Lepisosteus oculatus: one gene and its partner. The protein of the gene in region 1 purifies or fractionates together with the protein of each later gene. This does not show direct contact. Links are inferred from orthologs where the notes say so. Each region holds a gene or a part of one and is shown in the gene's direction. Other genes may lie near its edges.

Region 1 (12,757 bases):
ATACTACAGCGCATGACAGAGATAATAATAATAATTGTTTACACTTATACAGCGCTTTTCTGGACACTCCACTCAAAGCGCTTTACAGGTAATGGGGACTCCCCTCCACCATCACCAATGTGCAGCCCCCACCTGGATGATGCGACGGCAGCCATAGTACGCCAGAACGCTCAGCACACATCAGCTATCAGTGGGGAGGAGAGCGGAGTAATGTAGCAAATCATAGATGGGGAGTATTAGGAGGCCATGAATTGATAAGGGCCAATGGGAAATTTGGCCAGAATGCCAGGGTTACACCCCTACTCTTTGCGAGAAACGCACTGGGATTTTTAATGACCACAGAGAGTCAGGACCTCAGTTTTACATCTCATCCGAAGGACGGCACCTGTTTACAGTATAGTGTCCCCATCACTATACTGGGGCATTAGGACCCACATGGGCCGCAGGGTGAGTGCCCCCTGCTGGCCCCACTAACACCTCTTCCAGCAGCAACCTTAGTTTTTCCCAGGAGGTCTCCCATCCAGGTACTGACCAGGCTCACACCCACTGAACTTCAGTGGGCTGCCAGTTGTGAGTTGCAGGGTGATATGGCTGCTGGAGATGTGATACAAAGTGTTTCGGCAACGGCACCAAGGATTATCGGATCTGATTTACCATCAATCATTGAGATTCACACCATCCGCTGTCAGAATAAAGCCCAAAACACCCTTCAGGATCCCAGCCATACCGGCCACAAATTGTTCACAAAGTAGTACCGCAATATTAAAGCGCAGACCACTAGACTTAAGAACAGTTTCCATCTTACTGCAATGCCCATCCTCCACAGCTTACTGCACTGCCTCAGACTCATAGTGCATATCTGCGCACTGCACTATTTGCATGGTCCACCATGTTTATTTTTCCCGCACTACGCCAGATTTATTGTCCCCCAACACATTTACTCTTCCTGTTGTTATTACTTACGTGTGAAATGTATTGTCTACATTCTAAGGCGTTGTCTATTGTACTGTGCACGTCCTGAGAACTCAGCACGAATAAGAATTTCAATGTACATATGTCAATAAACTCCTCTACATCAGCTTGTCTGAAAATTCAGGTTGTCCAGTAAGCGGTACTTACTGGACATTTGTTCTTAGCAAAACGGGGCCTGCAACACAACCTGGCCCTACACAACAAATGTTTGGCCTATTAATACGAGGCCTGAACTGCAAACAGCTACTGTTCACAACCCTGTTAATCCTACAATACTTCACTTCAGCATTTCATGACACTGGGACTCTCCTGGAAGTCTTGAAGCTTTCTAGCTACTGTTATTATTTTACTAACCGGACACCAGATGATAATCTTCATCAGTGCTGACAGTAATTCATCAGAAACATATCAATATAGGTAACAACTTGTTCAAAAATATGACATCCATATGAGGTTGAAACCATCTCGTAACTTGATCTCAACAGATCTCAGAAGCAATGCAAGTCTAGACATGGTCATTAAGATCGTTAAGGAAAACTTGGTTGCTGCTTGAAGTGGTGCTGTGGCCCAGCATGTAGCACTATTTGCTCTGGACCAGAACTTTCAACTATAGTATTTGACAACGGACACTGTCCTGTAGATAGCTGCAGTCATTTGGGTAAGACCTAAAATTATGGTCTTGACTAACATCTGACTGTTAAAATTCCCATGGCAAAAGTAGGGGTATTAATCCTGGTGCCGTGGCTAATTCCTGAATTAATCTGATGTGTAGGGAGAATGCTGTCTGACACTTATCAACCAGGTGGGTGCAGCATTACAGTACTTATAATAACAAACTTTATTTATAGAGCACCTTTCATACAAATAGCAGCTCAAAGTGCTTTACAAACCCAGCGCAAAAATAAAATCTTCAAATTCAGAGACATACTTTCAGTTGTAAAGGAAAACACAGTCATACAGTAAAGCAACATATTTGTCAATTTTATGCTTGAAAATATATAAAACAGAAATTAGGAAAGTTGTCATAAACAAAGAACAATAAAAGAGAAATAAAAAAAGAGAAAGAGAAAGAACAAAGAACCATTTGAACTAAAAGCTAAATTAAAAAGATAATAACAAACCACAAGTTCCCTTAGTGCTGTAACATGTAAATGGGCACATTAAAGTAGTTTAAGTAGGAATATGTTTTAGGATTATTGCTCTTGCAGATTTGTATCAACAGTTTAGATTCGGGTATAGTTAAGTTCATCCTTCGGATGAGACGTAAAACTGAGGACCTGACTCACTGTGGTCATTAAAAATCCCAGGGCGTTTCTCGAAAAGAGTAGGGGTGTAACCTCGGCGTCCTGGCCAAATTTCCCCTTGGCCCTTACCAATCATGGCCTCCTAATAATCTCCATCTATGAATTGGCTTCATCACTCTGTTCTCCTCCCCACTAATAGCTGATGTGTAGTGAATGTTCTGGCGCACTATGGCTGCCGTCGCATCATCCAGGTGGATACTGCACATTGGTGGTGGTGGAGGGGAGTCCCCATTACCTGTAAAGCGCTTTGAGTGGAGTGTCCAGATTAAAGCGCTATATAACTTTAAGCAATTATTAATTACAGTGAACTGTATCAGGACAAAATGTGGAGAAGGGTTCTGGGTACAAGGACTTCTCGGGTAGAATTAAAAAAAACTGAAAAATTGGAATTAAAAAAATTCAAAAATTCAAAATTGAGGCACGTAACATAATGGAATGGGTTAAATGAAAGCCCTCCTAAAGAAGGTTTTGAGTCTAGGTTTGAAAGATTTCAAGGAAAGTGACCCTCTGATATCCTTAGGGTAGAGTTCCAGAGCTCTGGGGCATAACAGGAGAAGGTCGTGTCACCCACAGAGTGTAGACGGGCTTGGGGGACAGATAGGAGACCAGAATTAGACAAAAGAAGGTTTGCAAGGTGGGGGTAGGAACACAGTAAGTCAGACAGGTATTGAGGTGCCAAGCCATGCATTCTGAATTTGAAATGAAACCTGACTGGATGCCAGTGCGGGTACTCCAGGACAGGAGTAATGTGATCACTTGCACACGACCTGGTCAGGATTCTGGCTGCCGAGCCCTGTCTCACCTGCACTGTCATTGCGGTCAGGGGTTAGGTCATGCTCGTCCACGGGTTTCTTAAAAACAGAGCAAAAACCTTCGGCAGCATTGATATCGGCAAACGTCTGTCCGCCGGGCACATCTCAAACCTAGACAGCCATCCCGAAGAGAAACTGCATTCAGCCGGCATCTTCAGCTTTTCAGGAAAGTCTCTCGCCTTCTCCCGCAGCACAGCCCCTGAGGTAGCAGGGCAAACTATTCGTGAAGCACCTAATCCACGTCCTCCAACTTAACCCGATGGAAGGTAAGCCTCCTCTCATCTGTCACGGGAGATCTCAGGCTTCACGAAAGACTCCCTTCGTTTTGATCAAAATCAGACGTACTCGGATCCGACCGCAAACTCGCCATAAAGCTCCTTCACCAAAACCTTCGTCTGGGGGTCGGATATGAGAAAAGATAGATGTCGATCAACTTGGCTCACTCGTAAAACAGTACGGATTGCACCGGGGAAACGTTCACTTAAGGGAGAATGAAGACCAACGACTGTCCTGGTCCTACTGTAGGTAGGCAAAACATCGCGTGCGTGCATGAAGCAAACTAGTTTATTTTTTATGCCTTGTTAACAGTATTTTTCCCCCGATTGCTACAGGTCATTGCTATGCGTCATTACCAGATCCGAGGGAGTTTATTGTACTACCAATAACAATGGTAACCAGAAGAGATAGCACCTTGAATGACAACAACTCACCTCGACCTCCCTTGTCCTTCTTCACCATAATGTTAGACTTACACAACTACAATGAATTAATTACGACGACTCGGCTTTCTTCATTTAAATTCTTGAAGACTTTTGCTGCCGATTTCTTACAGACGCCACACAACACATCCGACAACGGAGGCTGCCATATTTGTTAAATGAATTGCGCATGCTCGGTTAGTTCAAGTCCCAAGCAAATCCGGGAAATGACTGTAGGTCACATATGGGTTTGAAAACTGATTTGAAACTGTTTTTTAAAAAAGGAAACCTTCTAGTGGTTCTTGTCAACATTGTGGTATTTGAGGTGCTGGAATTAGTGTTTATACTATTATTAAGTTTTATTGCATCATCCCAAGTATTAAGTTTTTTTGCTACTGTCAATTAATAACTGGGGCATGCATACAGTAATATACATATTATTGTTAAAGCGACAGCACATTTTAAGGCATTACTGTTACTAAGGAATACCTAATTGCTGTTCTTATTCCGATACATTAACGTCAGCCATACGCCAAAATGGCGTGTTTTCAGCCATCGGTATTAAAGTAGACAGCCGATGATCGTCTCAATTCTGCATGGGCAGATATTATAGATTTTTGATGATGCAAGGTTTTCTGGTAAAATTACAAACTTGTTCTTTCATTTCGGAAATCAGCGGACCTAGACACTAACCAGAAATGTAGGAACTGCAGTTTTTTCCCCCCGCTGCGACAGTAAGTTTTTTTCGTCAAACTTACTTATTGAACATGAAATAATACAAAGGAGAAATGTGCATCCGAAAAAAGATGTGAACAAAAAACAACAACAACAACAACAACAACAACAACAACAACAACAACAACTTATACACTGCCCAAAGTAATTACAATCAGAAGTTAAAACACATCCGTTTTGCTTTTTGCCTAGTTATTTTCAGGTTTTTAATGGCGTCTAAGTAATACTGCATTTCTATGTTCATAAGCATTAAAGGGCAGAGTAGCATTAGACCATGTTAGTATATATTCTCTGCTACAGTACAAGGCAATGCTTTAAAGGAGGACATTTCTGGGGTCTTTCCTTCATTCTAGGACGTGATGTTCTTTTTCTACTGTTGCATTCAGAACTAAAATGGTAAAAACCGGACATTAATTTCAAATCATTCCGAATAATATCGTTTTAAAACAGGCAGAAATTTGACCTGGCAAAAAGGAAGATGTGCAGTTATTACAACTATTGAGCAGCAGATGCGTCACCTGCCTTGTAGCCTGATCTCAGAGCCGAGGTCTGTTGGGTAAGACCATCTTGCCCCTACAGTGATGTTGGTGGACCAGTAGGTGGTGCTCTTCCCTCTGGACCAGAATTTCCAAACCAATGCCCCCAGAATAGTGACTTGGGACACTGTGTACCACTGAATGAAGCATTAAACTAAGGTCCGGGCCTCTTGGTACTTATCCAAAGGGTAGGCGTCAGGGTTTAAAACCTGCTCTGGGTGTGTATGATCCAGCGAATTGGGTTTTTCATTCCTCCACTGAGACTTGAGTTAGGTACCCAGGTCTGCAATTATATATGTATACATAGCGAGAATTTGATTAGGATGCTGGGATTACACCCCTACTTTTTTTTTCTGAGAAGAGCTCTGACACTTTTAATGACTTTTTAATGACAGTTTTATGTCTAAATTGACGGATGGCACCTTTTGACAGTATAGCTTCCCAGTCACTACACAAGGGCATCAGGACCACACAGACCACAAGGTAAGTGCTCCCTTGGTCCCACTAACACCTCTTCCAGCAGCAACCTTAGTTTTTCCCAGGAAGTCTCCCATCCAGGTACTGGCCAGGCTCACACCTGCTGAGCTTCAGTGGATTGCCAGTGATGATTTATAACCTTGCAATTTCATTCCATCAATACCTCGACATGACATCTCTCTATACATACAGGTAATAATTACTATTATTTTAAGTAGTGCGAAGTATTTTAAGTATAATATGGTTCACAGATTATTTTTTCCTATTGATGTGATCTCTTATGGAAAAAAATTCTGCACCATTGAAACTACAATGTTAATACATCTTAAAATCGCGGTGGGTAAATTATTTTGTGAGTACCACTGGTTTTGTAGAATGTGATGAATTCGTAACTTTCCTAAGAGTGTAGAATAATTGAGGCTTATTAGCTGTAGATTTAGTTTGCGTTTCATATTCTGAGATCGTATATTGAATTAACATCCTATAGTGTAAAATAATACACACGGTACCAAAATCTAGTCTTATAATTAAACAATATACAGTAAATTACGCGAAAAGAACGTACAACTGTAAATACAACTAATACATTTTCCTAATACAGGTGCCATTTTGACAAAACGTATTTTCCTGAACCCCACATAATTTCAATGACGAAATCCAACTCGGAACACAAACTACCTCTGACATCACAAGATTTGTGCTGCAAATTCTTCAAACTCTTGTGTTGCTGTTACCTGGCGGCGAATTTGCTCAAGAACGTGCTATGTTGTGAGCATTTAAGAAATCAATTAAAAGAAAAGTTAAGGTGACCGTTAATGGAATAAAAAGCTCGTAATGTCGTTGCAGCGCTAACAATTTAGAAGGCTATCTTCCTCGGTGGGAAAAAAAAACGGTTTCATCACGGTTCTTACAGTAACAAGTAAATAGGAGGAAGCGCGGCCTGTTCCAAAAAGGAGGGGAGGCGCTTCAGCCTCGGACTCGAGTGGAGGTTAACACGGGACTCCTGAGCCCTCGGCGTCTGCGGACTCGCCTATCAGCGGGGCCCAGGCTGACCCAGCCGGTCCTGTGAATGAGGAAGTGGTACCACAGATCCCCAGGTAATAAAAAGGACTACATTGACTACCTTTTACTCCCTGTTTTAGATTTAATTCACTTCAATGTGAAATATGCGAGAGCCAATTTCGATATAAATGCTGGAACGTGGAGGAGAACTAAATAGAAGAAATTCGTGGTCTGTGAGCTTCACTGTAATTTAGTTACATTGCCAGAATGTCAAAACAGGGATTGCTGATTTTGTAAGTCAACTTGTGAACCAGTCCATTTGCTAAACGATACGATGATTGCTGGATCTATGTGAATCGTTTCGGAGAAATAAAGACTGCAATCGTAGTGAATCGTTAAGAGCAGTTACGGTTTAATTTGGAACAGTGTGATTGCAACTTAAGTGTTGTTGGCACATTACAATGGTTGCCGAAATGTTATTTCGCACCATCAGCTGTCGTTTTGACGTATCGCCTTACTGTAAAGTTGTCCGTAATTTTACCATTTACTCGACGTATTGCTGTCCCGTATTTTCAATATGTGCGAAACCTAACGTTTGGGAAATTAACATTGCGAAGTCACGTAGTGGCTCTGTGAAAATGCCTTTTTTTTTAATTCTAATGTTAATTGCATGAATTGGATGAAACGCAGCCCTTTGCAAAAAGCGTAAAACGCGCACTTCGCAGTTAAATCACAGTGTTTATTTAGTTGGCATGGCAAGGTCTAGGATAACAATTTGAAAGCTTAAAGTGAGAGGAAAATATTTTTTTAGTCGCACTCTTTTAAACTGTATCTACACACACATCTCAAAGAGCGAGAGTTTTCATGCTACGAGGAGGCTGTGAGCGAAGAGGAGTCAATTTGGCCCATCTAGGCCTAATTTTGTTTTTTAGTAGCTAATTAAGCCTAGGATTTTATCTAGCCCTTTCTTGACAGAAGGCAGGGTGTCAGCTTTGAGAACATGGCTGGACGGCCCGTTTCAGCCCCCCGCATCCCTTTGTGTAAAACACCACTGTGTGCCGGCTTTATCGATGCCTTTGACCATTTTGAATATCTGGATCAACCCAAATCCGAGTTGTTTAAGTTTGAACAGATTCAGTTCTTTAATCCTGTTGCTGTGTAAAACATTCTTCTGGGCCTAAGAAAATATCTGGCTGCACTTTGCTGGACTGATTCTAGAGCAGCAGTTTTGTTTTGTAGATGGATGACTACAATTGTACCCTATTGGCAGTGAGGTCTTGCTACCACATTGTACAATTTTAACGTTACAGCCCTTCGTTTATTTATATATGTAGGATTTGCTGTCTACATGTAACACTCTGCACATCTGCAATTGCACATTTTTCTGTCTAAGTCATTTTAAATGCATTTTAAATCTTAAACAGTGTTTGCTAATCCTGCATGTTCAGATGTTCAGTACCACCCGAGAACTGGACAGGTTTACAAATTACAGCAGAACCTAAATTGTTGATTTAAGTTAGCAACATCCTCTTAGTACTCCGCTAATATCACCCCAGTCTGAGCTTTTCCTCATTATTATCTTTACTGTTTCCCATCCTAAGAAACAGTTCTCAGTCAAAATGCATGCCTTTCCTTGAATGCTTACTGCAAGTTGAGAATGAGCCAATGTCAAAGTTGAGCACATGTCTTCTGAATATCTAAATATTCATATGTGGCCAGCAGCCATATCACCCTGCACCTCACAACTGGCAACCCACTGAAGCTCAGCAGGTGTGAGCCTGGTCAGTACCTGGATGGGAGACCTCCTGGGAAAAACTAAGGTTGCTGCTGGAAGAGGTGCTAGTGGGGCCAGCAGGGGACGCTCACCCTGCGGTCCGTGTGGGTCCTAATGCCCCAGTATAGTGACGGGGACACTATACTGTAAACAAGCACCGTCCTTCAGATGAGGTCCTGACTCTCTGTGGTCATTAAAAATCCCAGGGCGTTTCTCAAAAAGAGTAGGGGTGTAACCCCGGTGTCCTGGCCAAATTTCCCATTGGCCCTTACCAATCATGGCCTCCTAATAATCCCCATCTATGAATTGGCTTCATTACTCTGCTCTCCATCCCACTGATAGCTGGTGTGTGGTGAGCGTTCTGGCGCACTATGGTGGATGCTGCACATTGGTGGTGGTGGAGGGGAGTCCCCATTACTTGTAAAAGCGCTTTGAGTGGAGTGTTTTAGTCAATAGATTTTCACTTTTTAATGCACAAGTGAGAAAAAGCAGAGCTTCATGCACTCATGGATTAGAATATACTGTTTACCCTGTGACTATTTTGTAGCTGTTCTGAATGATTGGTTGCAAGACTATATGTTTGCTGTTTGAGACTTTACAAAACAAAGTGTGTGCTATATAAGTAAATCTCTTGCTATGTTCTGAATCGTTTCGAAGAAGCATTATGTAGCAAACACGTGCACATTGGACTGTTCGATTCTTTGTGGATTTAGATTATTGAAGCCAATTTAGAAGAGCAGAAAAAAAGATGAAGTTAATACAAAATTGTCACTGCTAAAAAAAGGAAACAGCTATGCGTTTGGCTTGTCAAAAATCTGAGCAAGTGTCATGAAGTATGCATACATCGGTCATCTTTTCTTTTCCCTTTAGACATTCCTGCATAATGTTGTGCCAAATAGTTTGTCTCTCCAGGTAAGATGCATCCATTTCCAACCGTTTTAAGGCCCAAACATTAAAACTAAAACATTCATTTGGATAAGAAAACATTTATTTCTTCACATGAGGAGGTGCTGCTGGCTTTTCTGGGTTAAAACGCAAGACACAAGTTAGCCCTGTCCTAATTTATCTGTCTCTCCAAATGACCTAACTTTGGATAACTTGTATGTTTCAGTAAAAACACAGTAGCCTATTGTCATGAATCGTCATTGCCTTTCAAAATAAGGTGGCTTCAGATCATTTAAAACCCTGTATATTTTAGTTCACAAGCAGTCAATAGGGATAGTCTATGCTTGAGGAAGAGCAATCTGAAGGGTAGGTGTAGATCTTCAGGATACTCGAACTCTTTCAATGAATTTACTATTTTAAATAGCTGAGAAGGTATTAAAGGTATTTGAGAATAACATTTTTAAGGTGCGGATTCATTGAGAATTTAAACTGTTTTATACTTGAATAACATAGACCTGGACTTTGACCCACATGGTTCCAAATGTAGACATGCAAAAGGCTTGCCATATGTTAAGCAAGTGAGTCGAACAAAAATGGAAGTAAAATGCATCTAAACCTGCCCTTGATTGTGTATTCCAGGCATAAGCTATTTTCTGATCAAATCCATCAGAACTCATTCTTTCTTTCATACCCGTTGTCTGCTGAGCACATACAACAACAGCAAAATGTCATTTAAATGTACAGTACTGTTTTTACATATGATACTGGAATAGTATACCCTATTAAGGGTAAAAGGTTAATTATTGGGTTAAAAGCTACCTAGGGAACGAAGTTTAACTAATAGGGTGGATTGAAAACTAGTTAACAAATAACAAACCACAAGTTCCCTTAGTGCTGTAACATGTAAATGGGCAGATGAAAGTAGTTTAAGTAGGAATATGTTCTAGGATTATTGCTCTTCCAGATTTGTATAAACAGTTTAGATTCTGGTATAGTTAAGTTCCCATCGGATGAGACATAAAACCGCTTCTCGAAAAGAGTAGGGGTGTAACCCCGGCGTCCTGGCCAAGTTTCCCCTTGGTCCTTACCAATCATGGCCTCCTAATAATACCCATCTATGAACTGGCTTCATTACTCTGCTCTCCTCCCCACTGATAGCTGGTTATTATTATTAATTAACAACATAATTACATTTGCAGAAGATAAATATTTTAAGTGGAGGGACAGCAGAAAGAGAATTCCAAAAAGACTTGGGTTTGCACTTGGCAAATGACATTTAACATTGGCAGGTACAAAGGACGTACATCACAATGGTGATTCTGAGCTGCTGAAAGTGATTGAGAGTGATTTTCATTCTTTTTTTATTAAATGTTTAGCAGTGTTTTGAAATAGCCTCCTATCAGAATGAATAGGTGTTTATCACAACATCAAAACGAAGTACCAGTTTTGCTGCTGCGCTGTGCAACACTGATTGGACACGGACCTGTGCAGAAAATCCACAACTTCATCAGAACTTACAAAGTGTTGCAAGCAGGAGGTTCAGTGCATTTAGATCAAGTGGGCATAGTGGTAAGCACTGCTGTCTCACCTGTCCTGGAGCCTATCTGCATGGAGTTTCCTTCAGGTGATCTTGTTTCCTCCCACAATCCAAGACCGTGCTGCTCGGTTAAATTGGCTTCTGGGAAAGTGGGCCCTGGTGTGTTTATGTCTGTGTTTGACTTGCAGCTGACTGTGCCATGACCTTGAAGGGGATGAAGTGGTTAGAAATTGGTTGAGTGGATGTTGTTAATAGCTTACATGATTCAAGGACCTGATCAAGATTTAAATAAGGTATTGTGTTAGCCTCCACAAAATAGCTGGGTCGCATGTTCTAGATTCTTACAAACACTTAAAAATATTGCCTCCTTACTTGTTAATGTCAGCCTACTTCCATTTGGGCCTCTTGGTTGAGGTAACATTCCTTAAAGCACGTAAATTAAAGAAATGCACTTTCAAATAGAAACTGTTTCGCTTGAGATGTTTGTACTTAATTTCTTAAAATTGGTTGAGTTTTTTTTAACTGACCTTCACTGCTCTGTTCTTCAGGAAGAAAAGAGACTGCTGATGGGAGAATCTTCTTTTCTTGAACCCTGGGTCCCTCAGCGTTCTGTCGTGATGGGTAAGAGGAAGACAGATTCTTGTAAACATTTGTTTCACATGAAATGACCTAATTACTTGCACTTTCTTGGCACAGAATAATCGGGAGGAAAAAAGTTACTGTTACGCTAAAAAAAAAAGTCACCTGGGAGACTAAATACTTGAAAGCAGTTGTTCATGTACAGGGTGACAAATCACAGAGCCTTTTTCAACAAGGACAAAAGCTCAGTTGTCTGTACTTGCAAGATAAGTAAATAGAATTGTTTCACTTAGTGGCACGTAAGGTTATCAGCATGAATAGTTGTGACAAGGGATGGTAGAAATCCATTTTCTGCTGTTCACCTGTTTGAACACTTTTTTGGGGTTTGATCTCTCCAAAGCCAGAATTTGAAGGAGAAGAACTGACTGGTAGACAAAAGTGCCCTGATGTTTTTCTGCCTGCATTCCTTTCCTCACTCATTGAGAACGCATCAACACATTATATTGTAAGGAAAACCAGGTTGCTGCTGCAAATTGTGTTAATGGAGGAGAAAGTGTCCCTCTTTCCTCTGGACCAGAATTTCCAAAGTCAGTGCTCCGATATGACCACCGAGGTCACTGTACTGTCCTCTGTACAGTGCTGTCCTTTGGATGAGATATAAAATGAAGTCTAGACTGTTTGTCCATCAAAGATGAAAGATTTTATGTTGTTATTTGAAAGAGTAGGAGTGTGGATAGTGTAGGGGCGTCCTGGTTAAATCTCTCTCTACGTGCAAAAGCTGGTTCTCCCTTCATTAATATGTTGAAAAACTAGCTCACATGTTTGTCCAATGTGCTGTGTAGTGCTATGTGTTCATATATGTTGGTTGCTTGCCGTGGTTCATCCAGGTGGATGCTGTTCTTCCACCGTATATAAAGCACTTTGGGAGGCTTTTGGGATGAAAGGTGCACTTGGAATAAAAAGAAATGTCATTAATAATTAGACATTTCAAGATGTTCAGGTGGGTAGCTGCGTCAGCATGCGTAGGCTGCAAAGAAACAAGTAATTGGTTTATTCCATGCTGCAAAAAAGAAGAAAGAAAACAGGTGTGAACAATCTGAAGAAGGCTCCACGGCCGAAACGTTGTGGTTTCTGTCTTCCTTTTTTCAGCATGGAATAAACCGATTACTTGTTCCATTTCAAGATGTTGATGTGTTCCAATGAGTCCGTCTTTGGTTTTTAAAACTTTGATTTTAAGATAAATACCTAAAATATGACCTTGCACAAATCGGTTAGGAAGTTTGAACTAAAACATTTCTGACGGTAAATAACATGGGCAGGTTTATTTGAAGCATGAATCCCTTATCAACCCCATTCATCTCACGCCACTTTGGAAGCTGAAAATGTGTGCTAGGGAAGAGTGCTTGTGATGCTGTCGCCCCTACAAACAGCATGGATTGTGATTCC
Region 2 (12,777 bases), on another chromosome or scaffold:
GGGTGCTGGAGAGAACACTCCCTTTGCCTACAATGAGTGACATGGGATCTTTAATGGGCAAGTGATCAAGGTTTTATTGAATGTCTTATCACGCTATGGCACTGCGCCTTTCGGGGATGAAGGAGTGTGCTGAGGAATTGTGGGAAAGGGAATTGTGCTTGGCAAGAGCTGGGCCTTTTTCGAGTTTTAGAACCGTGAAAAACAGAAACGGAAAAGTCAGAGAGGGAGGGAACAAGAGCCCGGGTGTTTCAGTGTCATCGGCTCCAGCCTTCTGAAGTGTGCGCTTTGTGGCCGAACCCGATTAAGCATTGAAAGAGCTTAGTTTCTGATATGAATAATAATAATAATAGTGTTTGGATCGGTGTGTGTGTGTGTAGGGGGATGCTCAGATTTTATATTTATGTTAGTGTGCCGCGAGATGGAACAGGATGGGAAATACTGTGGTTTAAGACAGTCTCCCCGGTTGTCATACTGGTGTGTGTGTTTTTCAGATACTCTAATCCAAAGAGAAGAGCACCACCTACTGGGCCACCAATATCACTTACAGCAGCAACCCATTTTTCGTTAAAGGTCTCATACCTCAGTGTGGACCAGGCTCATCTTTGCTTAGCTTCTGAGATCATGCTACCACTAAGAATACAGCACTGGTGTCCATGGCTGTCCTCAGCAGTCCCCCGGGAGACAGTGGGGGAGAGGCTTAAGGAGTGCTCTTACAGCTACTTGCTTTCTGTATTGGTACAGTAATGATTAGTCTGAGGGTGAACACTATGACAATGATCATTTTTCTCCCGGGTTGGTGGGAAACTCATCTGGACTTTTCTTGGGTCCTGAGTTTGTGTTTTCGCCACCGTCCAAAATCACCCTTAATCTCCATATTGCCCTCCAGGCGCATATGTGAGTGAATGTGTGGACAAATGGACATTGGCCGAAATCTGAGCGCCTTCGCAATCCACGAAGCGCTTCATCAACATCATTCTGACTTATTTACCCCTTTCTTATTTGCTTTGACATCCTGTCGTGTGAATATTAAATCACACAGCGTTTGAAAATGAATACACACTTCTTTACCAATAGGTAGTGACATACAAGTGGCTGAGCGCTCGGCAGTGCCCTGCGCCGGAGAGCACTCTACACAATGGGAGTGCGTTTGAGTGGTCGGGCTACATTGTGCTGTAGACGGGCCCGGAGAACAATTATCTTCAGTACACACGCTGCATGATAGGAGATGGCAGGCCTCCCTCTAATCTCAGAGTGGTTTAGAATCCATGTCATAAACGATTACACATGCTCGGTTAGAGACTGAGGGTGCGTATATACGCTATGTAGGAAGAGTTCAGTCTTAGAGTAAGGACAAGTCCATTTCAAACTGTGATTCACGTGCACTGGAATTTGTTGTTGGTTTTTTTTTTCCCACAAATACGTTCACAGGATTTTGTGAGGATCACTCAGTCCCAGAGGGCTTCCTCAGCAGCTGCTCCGTTCCATTTCCTCACACGCCTCTCATGGGGCGGCGCGGGCTGCGCAGGGCGGGGCCCGTCTGCGCCTCTAGTTTTGGCGCGAGCAGATCACAGGCCCGCACGGGCCTTACAGTGCCCAGCGCAGAACAAAAAGCCCAAACATTTCTCTTCTCCCTCCCCCGCCTTCGCTTGTCCATTCATCTCCCCCAGCGCAGATCATTAATCCCCGACAAGGTCTCTTGTAGAAATTTAAAAGAATATTTTTTTTTTAAAAAAGGAAGGGCACCACGGATGACTTTTGGAGACCCGGTGTTTAAGAAAAATTCCATTTTTGGGCTGGTTATTGAACACGATTCCTCCTCCTTATTCTTTTCTCCTCTACAGGAGCTACACAGGAGGCCTTGTGGCCACAGCAGCTTAATGGTCTGGACAGGCCCCCCTTCCCCGCCTCACAATTGAGCTCAGCCCTACCGGCTGGCAGGAGAGCTTCACGCAGACCGTATGAAGCCCCGAGTCGCATGGAGGGCCTGGCTGCCGATAAAGAAGCGGCCGTTATGCGTTTGTCGAGATGCGTTCCCGCCCTCGGGCCAGAGGCCGCAGACAAAAGGCTCCCCCTGCCCGTGAATGGACAGCGGGCTTCGCTTGCTTTGGAGAAATCAGACAATGGCCCAGATGGAGGCTCCCAGCTACTCCTAATGGGTTCCACACAACCGGCCCATTTTCTGCGCGCATCGGAGAACTCTTGCGCTGCCCTGAAGCGGTCCACCCCGCGCTGGTAGAGCAGTTAATGGAAGCCGCCGCTCAGACACTCCTCGTCACGCCTGGGCACACCCTGTCCACTTACCAACAGTGTCCCCCCTCTCGGGGAAATCTTTCTTACGGGCCTTGTGCTGTCTCAGATCAGCCCTCATTTAAATGGATTAAAAACAAGCTTGATACAGTACATTTTCAGAACTGCCACAGTAGGATTGTGGGTACAGTGATGTTACATCGAAGACCAATCCATTGCAATTGTATTTGTACCGGAGAGTTTCTATAAAAAGCAGGAGAAAATGAAGTCGCCTGGTGCTCTCCTAGGTGGGTTACTCCCATGGATTCTCCCAAGCTTTCATCAGGGCCCAGTTCCTCCTGGGGCTTAATACCCCCCAGCCTTGCTTGGGCAAGGTTTCAGAGTGCTATGTGATCTGGTTTTCTGCCGGTGGGAGAAAGCCCAGAATAGCTGAAAAGCTTATGTTAGACCCTCACATGGGAGGTTACACACTTACGTCTTTAGAGGGGAGAGTGTGTGCTTTATTCTTCCCGGCTGCCCCTTTTTTAACATCTGTTCCCCTTTCAGAGTGTCAGCTTTCCCCTTTTGAAACATTTTGCACCAGAGTCCATTTGTCTCTCTTTCCTGTCCCAGCCCTGGGCCCAGTTTTCAAATCAAATCTCCATGATGGCCTACCCTCCAGCAGGCTACAGCCCAGCCCAGCTGCAGGGTCCCCACATGCTCTACTGGGAATGACTGTAACCAGTGCCGTCTCCATCTATTCACAGAGAGCTCTAGATTCCTGAGAAGGGCTTCAGCGCTAACAATACAGCAGGCATGAGTTTAAATGGGTGACGCACAGCTTTTATACGCTTTCCCCTCCACTGGGGAAAGAAAACATGGCATTGCACCATATTGTTTTAATTGCACAGCGAAGAAAAAAAAAAAAACAGCTGAGTGTTTAGACCTGAAACAGGAGCTTCAGGTTCTTAGGTTTAACGTAAAAATAAAACCCTTTTCATTTGGCCTCTGTAGCACAAATTTCAACATGTTGGGTACAGCAAGGTGGAAAGGCCTACACTGCCTCGGACGAGTGGGTTTTGTAGGCACTGTACCAACACCCCTATTTCTCCTCTGCAAGCTGTAGAGCTACAGTGGCCCATAGCAAAGTAAAGCACTCCCTCTTGTGGCGTTTTAGTGAAATTACAAGTGTTCTTTAGCCTAGCAAGAATTTCAGCACAGGTCACCCCTTAAAACTTCAGCTTTAATGGATAGACTAATGCATATTTAAATGACTTGGATCTGTTAGATTTCTTGGAAGCAGAATATTTGACCTAGTTTTACAATTTATTCTGATGAAAGTCATGGGACCGTAGCCTACACAGGTTTCCAATGCACAGCTGCAGGATGGAAGAATAAATTTTGAATAGCTCATCAACCTTAACTTTAGGCAGAAACCACAGCATCCTGTAACAATGAGGGAAGACTCCATGAATAGCACACAGCCACCTGATTGAGGTCAATACTGAATAGCATACACCTTTTCCTTTTCTGCACGCGAGTTCTTCAAAAAGATGACAAGGCAACACTTTGAAGAGAAGCAGCATAGCTCAAGAGCTCTTCCACTGTGGCAGAGAGAGACCTGCAAGCAGGAGTGGACCTCTGGATCAACAAGTGCAGGTTGAGCCTGCAGAGGCAGCTGGTACACAAACATGCAGCAGAAAGGAGAGGTAGGACTCGAGATCTTAAAGGCTTTATTAAAAACATTCAGCCAGTGCCTTTACACAGGAAGGCACATTAATTAGGATGTGCTTGTAATGCATTACATAGGTGTAGCTTCTCTAATTTTGCTTTACAGCTCTGCCTTTTTAAAATTTGTTCAATTCTCACACATCACAATTTGAAGGTAGAGTCTAGGAACAGGGGACTTTGAGTTAGGATTTACAACATGAAGGTTCTCCTCCCTCAATCACAACTGAGGCCACAAACAGAACAAGCAAGCTCCCGAGTCATCAAAATACATTTTATTGCAGTGGAATGGTCCCGAGAGAGAGTGTGTTGGGCCCCATCTTGACTAGTGGGGGCCAGGCCAGCTCTGCCCCTACAGCTGGAGAGGTCCACATCCCCCGTCACCTGCAAGACACCAAACCATCCATTAATGCCTCTTTCAACCACCCATGCAGTCACACAGCCAACTGAAGTTCACGTACTAAATTCTAGATCTGGAAGAACCAACCAGTTTGTTGGGACAGCTGCTGAAGTGCAGGAAATTGTAAAACTGTGCAATGATTGTTCAGACCACAGAAGAAGTCAGTGCTACTATAAAACTGAGTCAGCATACACGTTCAAGAACTCCATTTTCAGGACAACTCTAGGCAAGAAAATAACGAGGCCATCTCTTGGTCGTTACCTGAATGAGATTCTTGGATCAATTACTATTTCTTGAAAGAGGAGACGATACTGAGCTTTTAGGTCAGGTGCAAGGATCGACACCTGAATTTAGATTCAGGATATCCAGTTAAAATCCCAATCCTGGACCCAACACCTGAGCTCTTAACGAACACGGACTTAATGGGTTTTAATAGGAACGGAGAACTGATCATAATCAGTCAAAGAGCAACTGAAGAAATAACCTCCTAGGAGGTTATCTCCAACCTTCACGTAGAAAGACTTGGAAAGGATCTAAACAAGCTACTGGTTAGTTCACTTGAGGATTAATTTTGGTTTGAATGAGAACTAGAAGGTGTGAGGTGAGGTGGGGTCCCCCACCCCCAATGATTGAACACTGACTTCCTTACCTCTCTCTCTCCAGTCACCAGGCCTGCCAAGCTACCACGAGACCTCCCCCCCAACACCACGTTTCATGGGGAGGGTTGAAATGCCTGAAACAAAGACCAGCCATCCTTTTAGAATCACTGCGCAACCCAACCTCAATACTTATGCTACACAAGCTCCAGGATCAACGGATAAAAACCAGCTGCCTTCGAAAAGCTTCCCGTTTGTCACAGTGCTTCAGAACATGAGGTGAAATCAAGGACTGCTGGGCAGTATGTTCATTGGAAGTGTCAGAAATAAGAAATAATTCATCACGAACACTGTGCAGAGACCGGAAAGGGCGAGCAGCCGTTCAGTCAGATCGAGGGGAGATTATTTAAAAGTCGGACGGAAGGATAAACTCACCATTTTCAAATCTCTCGACGTCTGCTCTTCACCCAAGCCCGTCTCAAGGCACGCACGCGTCGTCTGGGGTGATCTGTTGAGCCAAGAAACGGAACGTTAACCATCCTTCCTCCCCCAACTCTGAAAGATCTTTCCTGCTCAGGTCATCACAGAGGTCCTGGTTAGCCATCATGTCCCGAGTAGGGCATCATGGAAACATTTCACAAACCTGACCTGCAGTGACCACAGTGCTTCAGAACATGGATTGAAATCAGAGGCCACAGGGTGGCCTGCTCATTGGAAGTGTCAGAAATGGAAAAATCATTCATCATGAACACTGTGCAGAGACGGGGAGCCCTTGAACCGACAGTTCCACCTAGATTTCGATTAGGGGCCAATTTGAATTCTGCAATTGCAATCAAAAACCAGCCCATTTTCGCGCAGGTGACTCACCATTTCAAGTCACTCGATTGCCTGCGGATACACCCCCGCCACTCCACTCCACTCGGATCCGTCCCCACAACCTCTCGGGACATGCTGTTGCGACGTCGCCATCTTGAATTTCTCCACGGCGATCGGCAGCACGTCACCACGTGTCACTAAAACAAAAAGTAAAATATACAGCCGGTTTCTTAAACAATCTCAGCGCAACCTCCCATGCAATCGCTTTCACATGAAACAAATACAGAGGCACAGCCTAGGCGAACAGGGGTGAAGCTTTTCAGTCGCTGAGAAGCTTCTACCGATAAAGGACACGCTTCTCACTTCACAAGCGAGTATATTACACGTGCATCCTACGTGCAGACGATCAGTCGAGTCCACAGTGTTTCAGAACATTTAGTGAAATCAAGGACTGTTCATCGGAAGTGTCAGAAATAAGAATAGATTCATCATTAACACTGAAGGAGACTCAGACTATTCTCATAAGAGAAGGACGCTAGTCTTGTAAAAATCCCGCATGAAACCCAACTCCAAGCGGGCCCGATGTAGGCCCGTAGCCGCATCTTGGGGTGCGCAGATGCGTCCATTTAAGTCTGCAAACTGGGCAGACCTTTGTACGTGGAGCTACACAAAGCCAAGCTGGGCCCACATGGCCTAGCCTAGGTCAATCCAGCACGCCTACGCTGAAAAACAGCAGCGCCCAATACATTCAGTACTTCGGCAAGCACTCGTAATGGACAGCTGGACTTCCCCGAGACAAGCCAGATTTAATAAAACTAATGCACGGAAATGCTGAGCTTTTACTAACACTAGCAACAACTAAAACAAACCACCACTCACCTCCACCGAGCGAAAAGAGAGGCTCAATAGCACCGCGAAATGAATTTATGGGGTGAAGGTCTGGCTCCGGCCTGAATTCACACTTCTTATTGGATAGTCAATGCAAAAATAGCCGTTTCTTATGCGAAGGAACCAATCGCCTCTGAATTCTAAAGCAACACTCCTTTTCCGCTGGAAGAAGGGGAAGCTTCCTATTGGCTATTTAAAATGTATTTGGTCACGAATCAAATGTGAGTTTTAGCGTGAGAGGGAAACTGACTTGAAGGACGTCCAACGGTAGATAAAAGTAGTACAATAGACTGATGGAGCTATAGCCAATGAGCATTCAGCTGTGGGCGGAGCGTGGATGGGAGGGCGGTGTCGAAAAGAATTGTGGGGTCTGTAGTGCTCACTTGATCGGGGATTGATTTGGAATCGAAGGCCCCAGCTGAATAAATGAACTACAAGCCCCACAATGCCCGGTAAACAGTTCACTTCCTCAAAAATCTGGCTGCTGTCAGGGAAGAAGATGTGGACTATAAGAGCAGGCTGAGTGCTTTTGCATCATTGGTAAGAGGTTTGAGTTCGTTATACACAGGTTTTCCATCGCGTAGTTCGACCAAAACTGTTTTGCTAGCCCTTAGGTTCGGGTGTTTGCGGCTGACACCATCGTAACACGGAATCTCTCTCTCCTAATTCTAGACCAGAAATAGCCCTAACGAGTCACAGCTTATTGAGAGTACGACAGCGATCCATGTGCCGAGAGACGAGAACAAATGTCTAATTAAAATCTGGATACAACTGCAAGACTGCTATGAATTTTTGACTCTCCTAGACATCTGTTTCCGTTTCTTTAAAAGCAATCGTAACACAGCTGGCTAACGCCATACGTGTCTTGGCGACACAACGATTATCTTGCGAACCAATGGGCTGATGTGGAGAGCGTCCGTAAAAAAACATTTGATGAAGTGTTCCTGGCAAGGTAGGAGAGTTTCCACCGAGCCTGCCGCCGGCTCAGCAGGGGCTTCATTTGTTTAGTGTGCGATCCGTCGCGCTGGCTGATTCAGTGAATTCATAAGCGAAAAGCGCCAGTACACGTCGTCACCGAGGGAAGGAGATGCACCACGCATCGGGCGCTGTGTCTGGGAAGATCTCGCTGAGAGCCAGCGAGCCGTCTGGTGTCACAAAGTGTCGACGCGCATTCCCGTCTGAGGTGCGATCAGCTGTGTTCGTGCGAGACTGGACGGGCTCGGGGTCTGTGATGCTTTCTGAGGTGTCCTCTCGTTTCTTTGTGCTCTGTATCTTTCGGTTTAGTGATGAAAGGTTTGAGACGGCGACGTTCCCCGAAGGGGGGGGGCATGTGGGGAGCTGAGATCCCCGTGATATTTGTGGGGTCTCCTTCCGCTTGCACTGGAAGAGTGGGGCTCGGTCGATTTCAACAGTGAAACGAAGCTCACATTTCAGACTGTCGGTGGCAGCAGATCCATACTATAAACTCTCTGTTCGTGTTCATAGACCCGTTAATAGAAGTATCTTAAGGGATAAACCCTTCCATTTATATAGCGCCTTTCTAGACACTCCCCTCAAAGCGCTTGACAGATCATGGGGACTCCCCTCCAGTGTGCAGCCCCAGCTGGATGATGCGACGGCAGCCATAGTGCACCAATACGCTCCCCACAGACCAGCTCTCAGTGGGGAGGAGAACGGAGTGATGAAGCCCAACATGTATGCACCCGTGTTTCAGATTGTTGTGTACAGGCTGTTCAAATGACACAGGCGTCATATCCGATTCATTGCTCCAGCTCTCAGTGTCACGTTAGTAACGCATTCTCCCTTAAAACTAGTACGTCGAGTTTGATTGAAGAGATGAAGTCTTCACTTTGCTGGCTACGCGAATGAATTAAGTATCGCATTGGGGGCACGTGGTGGTACTATCGTTTCTGTTGTTGTCCTTGTACCCACCTGTTCTTGAAATCGTGAAACGTCGAAGTCTCTGCAGTTCCTGGAGTGCGAGTCTGGAAAAAGCCACAGACGTCTGAATCTGACCCGAAGTGGTACGGGCGAGGAGCACGCTGTATCAGATATACAGTGACACGCTGAATGAAAAATGTTAAATTTGCAGCGACTGTACTCGTTATACAGAGAAAGTGCGAAATCGTTATAGAGAACGGATGCAGATGTAATGTAATAATTGTTGACCTTTGAAACCATTCGCATTAATGAGCTCTCAGCTATGGTTATGAATGTAATTATTTACTTAGCAGGCGGTGTACCAACACATGCAATTGTGTTCATATCAAAGTGAGTTGCTGCTGTTGCACTCGGAACAAGTAAAGAACACAATGCTTTTGTGTGGCGCAAGTAGAGGCCGTTTAATTTGTAGCCTCGTGTCGATTTTTGGAAGGAAAAACAGATTGATGTCAATCAGTAAGACGGCTACGGTCACTTAAACGTGTTTGTGAACTCGTCTCGGAAATTATACAGCTCCGGATTTTTTTTTAGCATTCGGATATGGACTATGATACGGCGTAGGCGGCTCTATTCATTACTGTTGTGAAATCTAAAAAAAAAAGTGCTGGTAAGGGACACTGACGTCACTTTGGAATAGTACAGTAGTAAGCGGAGAGTGGGCAGCCTGTGTTCCGATTGGCCGAGGCGCCGCCTCATTAGCATACAGGCAGTCCCGTCGCGTGCCTTTCTGTTTACATCACCGTGCAGAGCAGCACTGGCAGACGGGTCTCAGCGTGCTTTGAGGACTGTAATCGGATTAATTGAACAACTTTTGTTTCATTCATTACCGTTATGGTACAGAAATGTGCACTAGACTTCAACGCAAGGCTGTAGGTTTACAGTCTTTGTGAGTGAATTAAAGGTAACTGTCTCCCAACAGGTAAACAGCCGGACCGCAGCGTTGTCTTCTGACGTTGTGCATTTAGCTGTGTGATCGGGGTTTTATTCGGGCATTTCATCGCTCGCAAACAGTAACTTTCTGGAATTTTTGTTTAGCGCATTTAATCAACTAAAACGTTTTCAATTATTTTTCCCTCTAAGGTTTCGTTTGGTATGAGTCACATTTTCCAAAATCAGGTTGGCTGACTTTGAGTTGCCTTTTTTTTTTGCAGGGGGAGGTGGTCCCGGACCTTCTCTCACTTCTCTCTTTTTAATCGAGCCATCGATTTCATTCAGCCCGGTTTTGTTTTTAACGCAGTTACGGAATTCAGTAGTGCGCAGTTTTTCTTGAGCTCCGAGCTCTCCTTGTTATTGGTGGTAGCTAGCGCTGACAGGGTTATCTTGAAGTGCTTTTGTTTTGCTCCCTCTAGAAGTAATATTCTTAAACAGACCCGATTGTATCTCCAGATTTCAATTTGTAGTCGATAACCCTTTACCGCGGGATTACAAATGGATTATGTCATCTCTCCTAATCGATTTCTGCAAGATTCATCATAAACACTGGATTGACTTAACATTGTGCTATGATCGCATCCTTGTCGCCAATAATTATTGCCGTAAATAATATTTTGATGTATGTAGCCGCCGATGTTTATCCAAGGCAACTTGAGTTCAGTATATTAGTCTTTTAAACTAGTTAGTAACTGTCAGAAGTCGTTTAAGGCTTTATAGAGCAGGATGGTTTAGAATTTCTTTTCCTACTTTGGAACATGGTCTTAGTTGTTTGGAACATATGTTGTGACCATCATTGATGACTATTTTCCTTCTTCGCTGTTCAAAAGTATGGCGTCTAATTTTCGGAAGTGTTTACCTGCGAGGCATTTTCCCAGGAACTTGATGGTAATGTTTCTGCAGCGCAGGATACTGAAACCTCAAATTCCAGTGCCACATTTTACTGTTAATTCTTCATCTTACATTTGTACACAGCATGTGGAAAGTAGGACATTTCATAGTCCCTTGAGTCTGAGGTGAAGACCATGTCAGTTTGAGGTCAATAATGAGGGATAGCTTTCTTCATAGCTACTAGCCCACACAGCCTCCAGCTCTAGTTGTTGGAAGACGTGATTTTGAGGAAAAATTGAGTAAAGTAAAAGGAGAGATTCTTTTAGAGGTTGTCCACCTTCTAGGGAGATGGGGGCTACCTGTGTACTTGTGATAATTAAGTTGCAGATACAGTGCTTTCTGTCTCATATCAGCACGGGCAGCCCTCTTGTGTGATGCACAGTATCGCAGGTACAGTGTGGGATCAGGCCATTGTCAGCAACCGGATAGCTGTTTTTCCAACCAGGAATAGAAATTAGTAACAGAAGGAAAATGGCAAGGGACTCCTTGAGTGAATTACTGTGAAACAGACGGTGGTTTGCAACCTGTTATTTGGGGATCTGTAGTGTATAATCTCCACCATGGCTGGAGAGCATTAATTGTAGGTTGGATTTTGCTACTGCAAAGCCAGCTGACTCTCCACTCACCACTGACTGTTCAGCGAAGTTTCACAGGGCCATTTCTTTTGTGTCCTTCTGGTTTCAGAAATGGGAAAAAAAAATCCTGTAGTTCCAGCCCTGCCCCCCTAATCAGGCCTCCCACTGCTTAGGTCAACAGTAACTGGTGCTTTAGTTCTGGGTGGGTTCTGTTGTGCCCAGTGTGCCGTACAGGTGTCCTTTTTCTGTAGTCTCTGAGCCCTGCCCAACTTCTCCGTTTGTCTGTGTCTTTGCCCTTTTGTTCCTGCTCAGACTGTTGCAGCGCTGGTGGTTAGACGCGTGCTCATTTTTTTCGGTTTACTGTCACGGTTGAGACTGTGGGGGGGGTGAGGAACGCAGAACAAAAAGGATGGGTTCTGAAGTTTTCCATACTCAAGGAATGGTCTTTCGGGTAGGCTGCAACATAAGCTCAGTTTGCAAACAAAAACATGGCCCCCAAAGATATGTGAAGTTCCTGTTTTAGTAAAAAGAAGTAATTAACTATCATAACAGATGTTTTGGCACTCTTGCTGGAAAGAAAACAAAAATCTTGGCCACAGAGCAGAGTTTCCATTTAGCTGTCAGCCTGGGGTTACAGTGGTCTCTGGAGTTATGGAGTGCCAGAGTGCGGTAGCCAATGGGCAGCCGGCGTCCTGAGTGCGGTAGCCAATGGGCAGCCGGCGCCCTGAGTGCGGTAGCCAATGGGCAGCCGGCGCCCTGAGTGCGGTAGCCAATGGGCAGCCGGCGCCCTGAGTGCGGTAGCCAATGGGCAGCCGGCGTCCTGAGTGCGGTAGCCAATGGGCAGCCGGCGCCCTGAGTGCGGTAGCCAATGGGCAGCCGGCGCCCTGAGTGCGGTAGCCAATGGGCAGCCGGCGTCCTGAGTGCGGTAGCCAATGGGCAGCCGGCGTCCTGAGTGCGGTAGCCAATCTCGGGCTACAGTGACAAACGAAAGGGGAGACAAGATCGCTGATGGGCTGACAGTGTGGTTTTTTTTGCCTCTCAGGGTGCAACTGTCAGGTCCAGGGAGGCTGTGCTGGACTATGAGCTCCAGTAAGACTCTGCGCTACAACCGTTTTTCTGGAGGTGCTGCAGCAGTCGTGGCCAGTGTCCCACCTGCCGACACTGCAAACACGGTAAGGAGGGCCTTCTGCCAGGGCTGGGGAGGGGGACAGTGGCCGAATTTAAGAGCAGACTTAAAACAAAGGTATCCTCTGGCGTTTTTTTGTCTAACCTATTTTAGGATAGTCGATTTTAGGATAATTCAGCAATAAATGAATACCACCTTTGAAGCTGATGTATTTCACTGTTTTTTGGACACATATTACATATTGTTACAGCAGTAATTCTTTGAAAGTAGATTGGGAGACATTTAAGTCTTGGGCAGTTAAATATTTGAAGATTTCCGGGCACATCTGCAGATCTTCCTGTTTGCAAGCAGGAGGGACATGTGCACTGTGGTGCCATGTGGTCTCTAAGGGATTCATCTTCCTCACTGCCTGACGCAACAGCAGCATCAAACCTTTTTTTTTTTTCTCTTTATAGCAGACTAGGATGGAGACCACCTTTGGACCTGCATATGCAACAGTCACCACTATTACGAAAGGTTAGTCTGATTCTCTGTGCGCTTGCCTCATGCTGCATTTATTGCTGCAGTCTTTAATTTCGAGACAGGGCCTGAATTCCCTCAATTCTAACCCACCAGCAGACTCCAGACCTGTCGCTTGATAGTGTTTCCACTGGGCTGGCG

Evidence for each region.
Region 2: the proteins of map3k2 (region 1) and traf7 purify together in Homo sapiens (affinity purification with mass spectrometry; 3 studies listed by BioGRID and IntAct, with this or other methods). This does not show direct contact. The link is inferred for Lepisosteus oculatus from reciprocal best matches to the Homo sapiens genes MAP3K2 and TRAF7.

What each region holds. Positions count from the first base shown.
Region 1 is NC_090707.1:32,274,216-32,286,972, reverse strand, and holds the start of map3k2 (mitogen-activated protein kinase kinase kinase 2), read left to right. Parts: upstream 1-6,211; 5' UTR 6,212-6,631; intron 6,632-9,180; 5' UTR 9,181-9,222; intron 9,223-11,280; 5' UTR 11,281-11,298; coding exon 11,299-11,353; intron 11,354-12,757. Other genes in the region: ercc3 (general transcription and DNA repair factor IIH helicase/translocase subunit XPB), read right to left, coding at 3,799-3,826. UniProt on the Homo sapiens protein: Component of a protein kinase signal transduction cascade. Regulates the JNK and ERK5 pathways by phosphorylating and activating MAP2K5 and MAP2K7. Plays a role in caveolae kiss-and-run dynamics.
Region 2 is NC_090714.1:12,210,131-12,222,907, forward strand, and holds the start of traf7 (E3 ubiquitin-protein ligase TRAF7), read left to right. Parts: upstream 1-7,112; 5' UTR 7,113-7,194; intron 7,195-7,207; exon of another isoform or gene 7,208-7,606; intron 7,607-9,325; exon of another isoform or gene 9,326-9,514; intron 9,515-12,033; 5' UTR 12,034-12,070; coding exon 12,071-12,163; intron 12,164-12,572; coding exon 12,573-12,633; intron 12,634-12,777. UniProt on the Homo sapiens protein: E3 ubiquitin and SUMO-protein ligase that plays a role in different biological processes such as innate immunity, inflammation or apoptosis. Potentiates MAP3K3-mediated activation of JUN/AP1 and DDIT3 transcriptional regulators.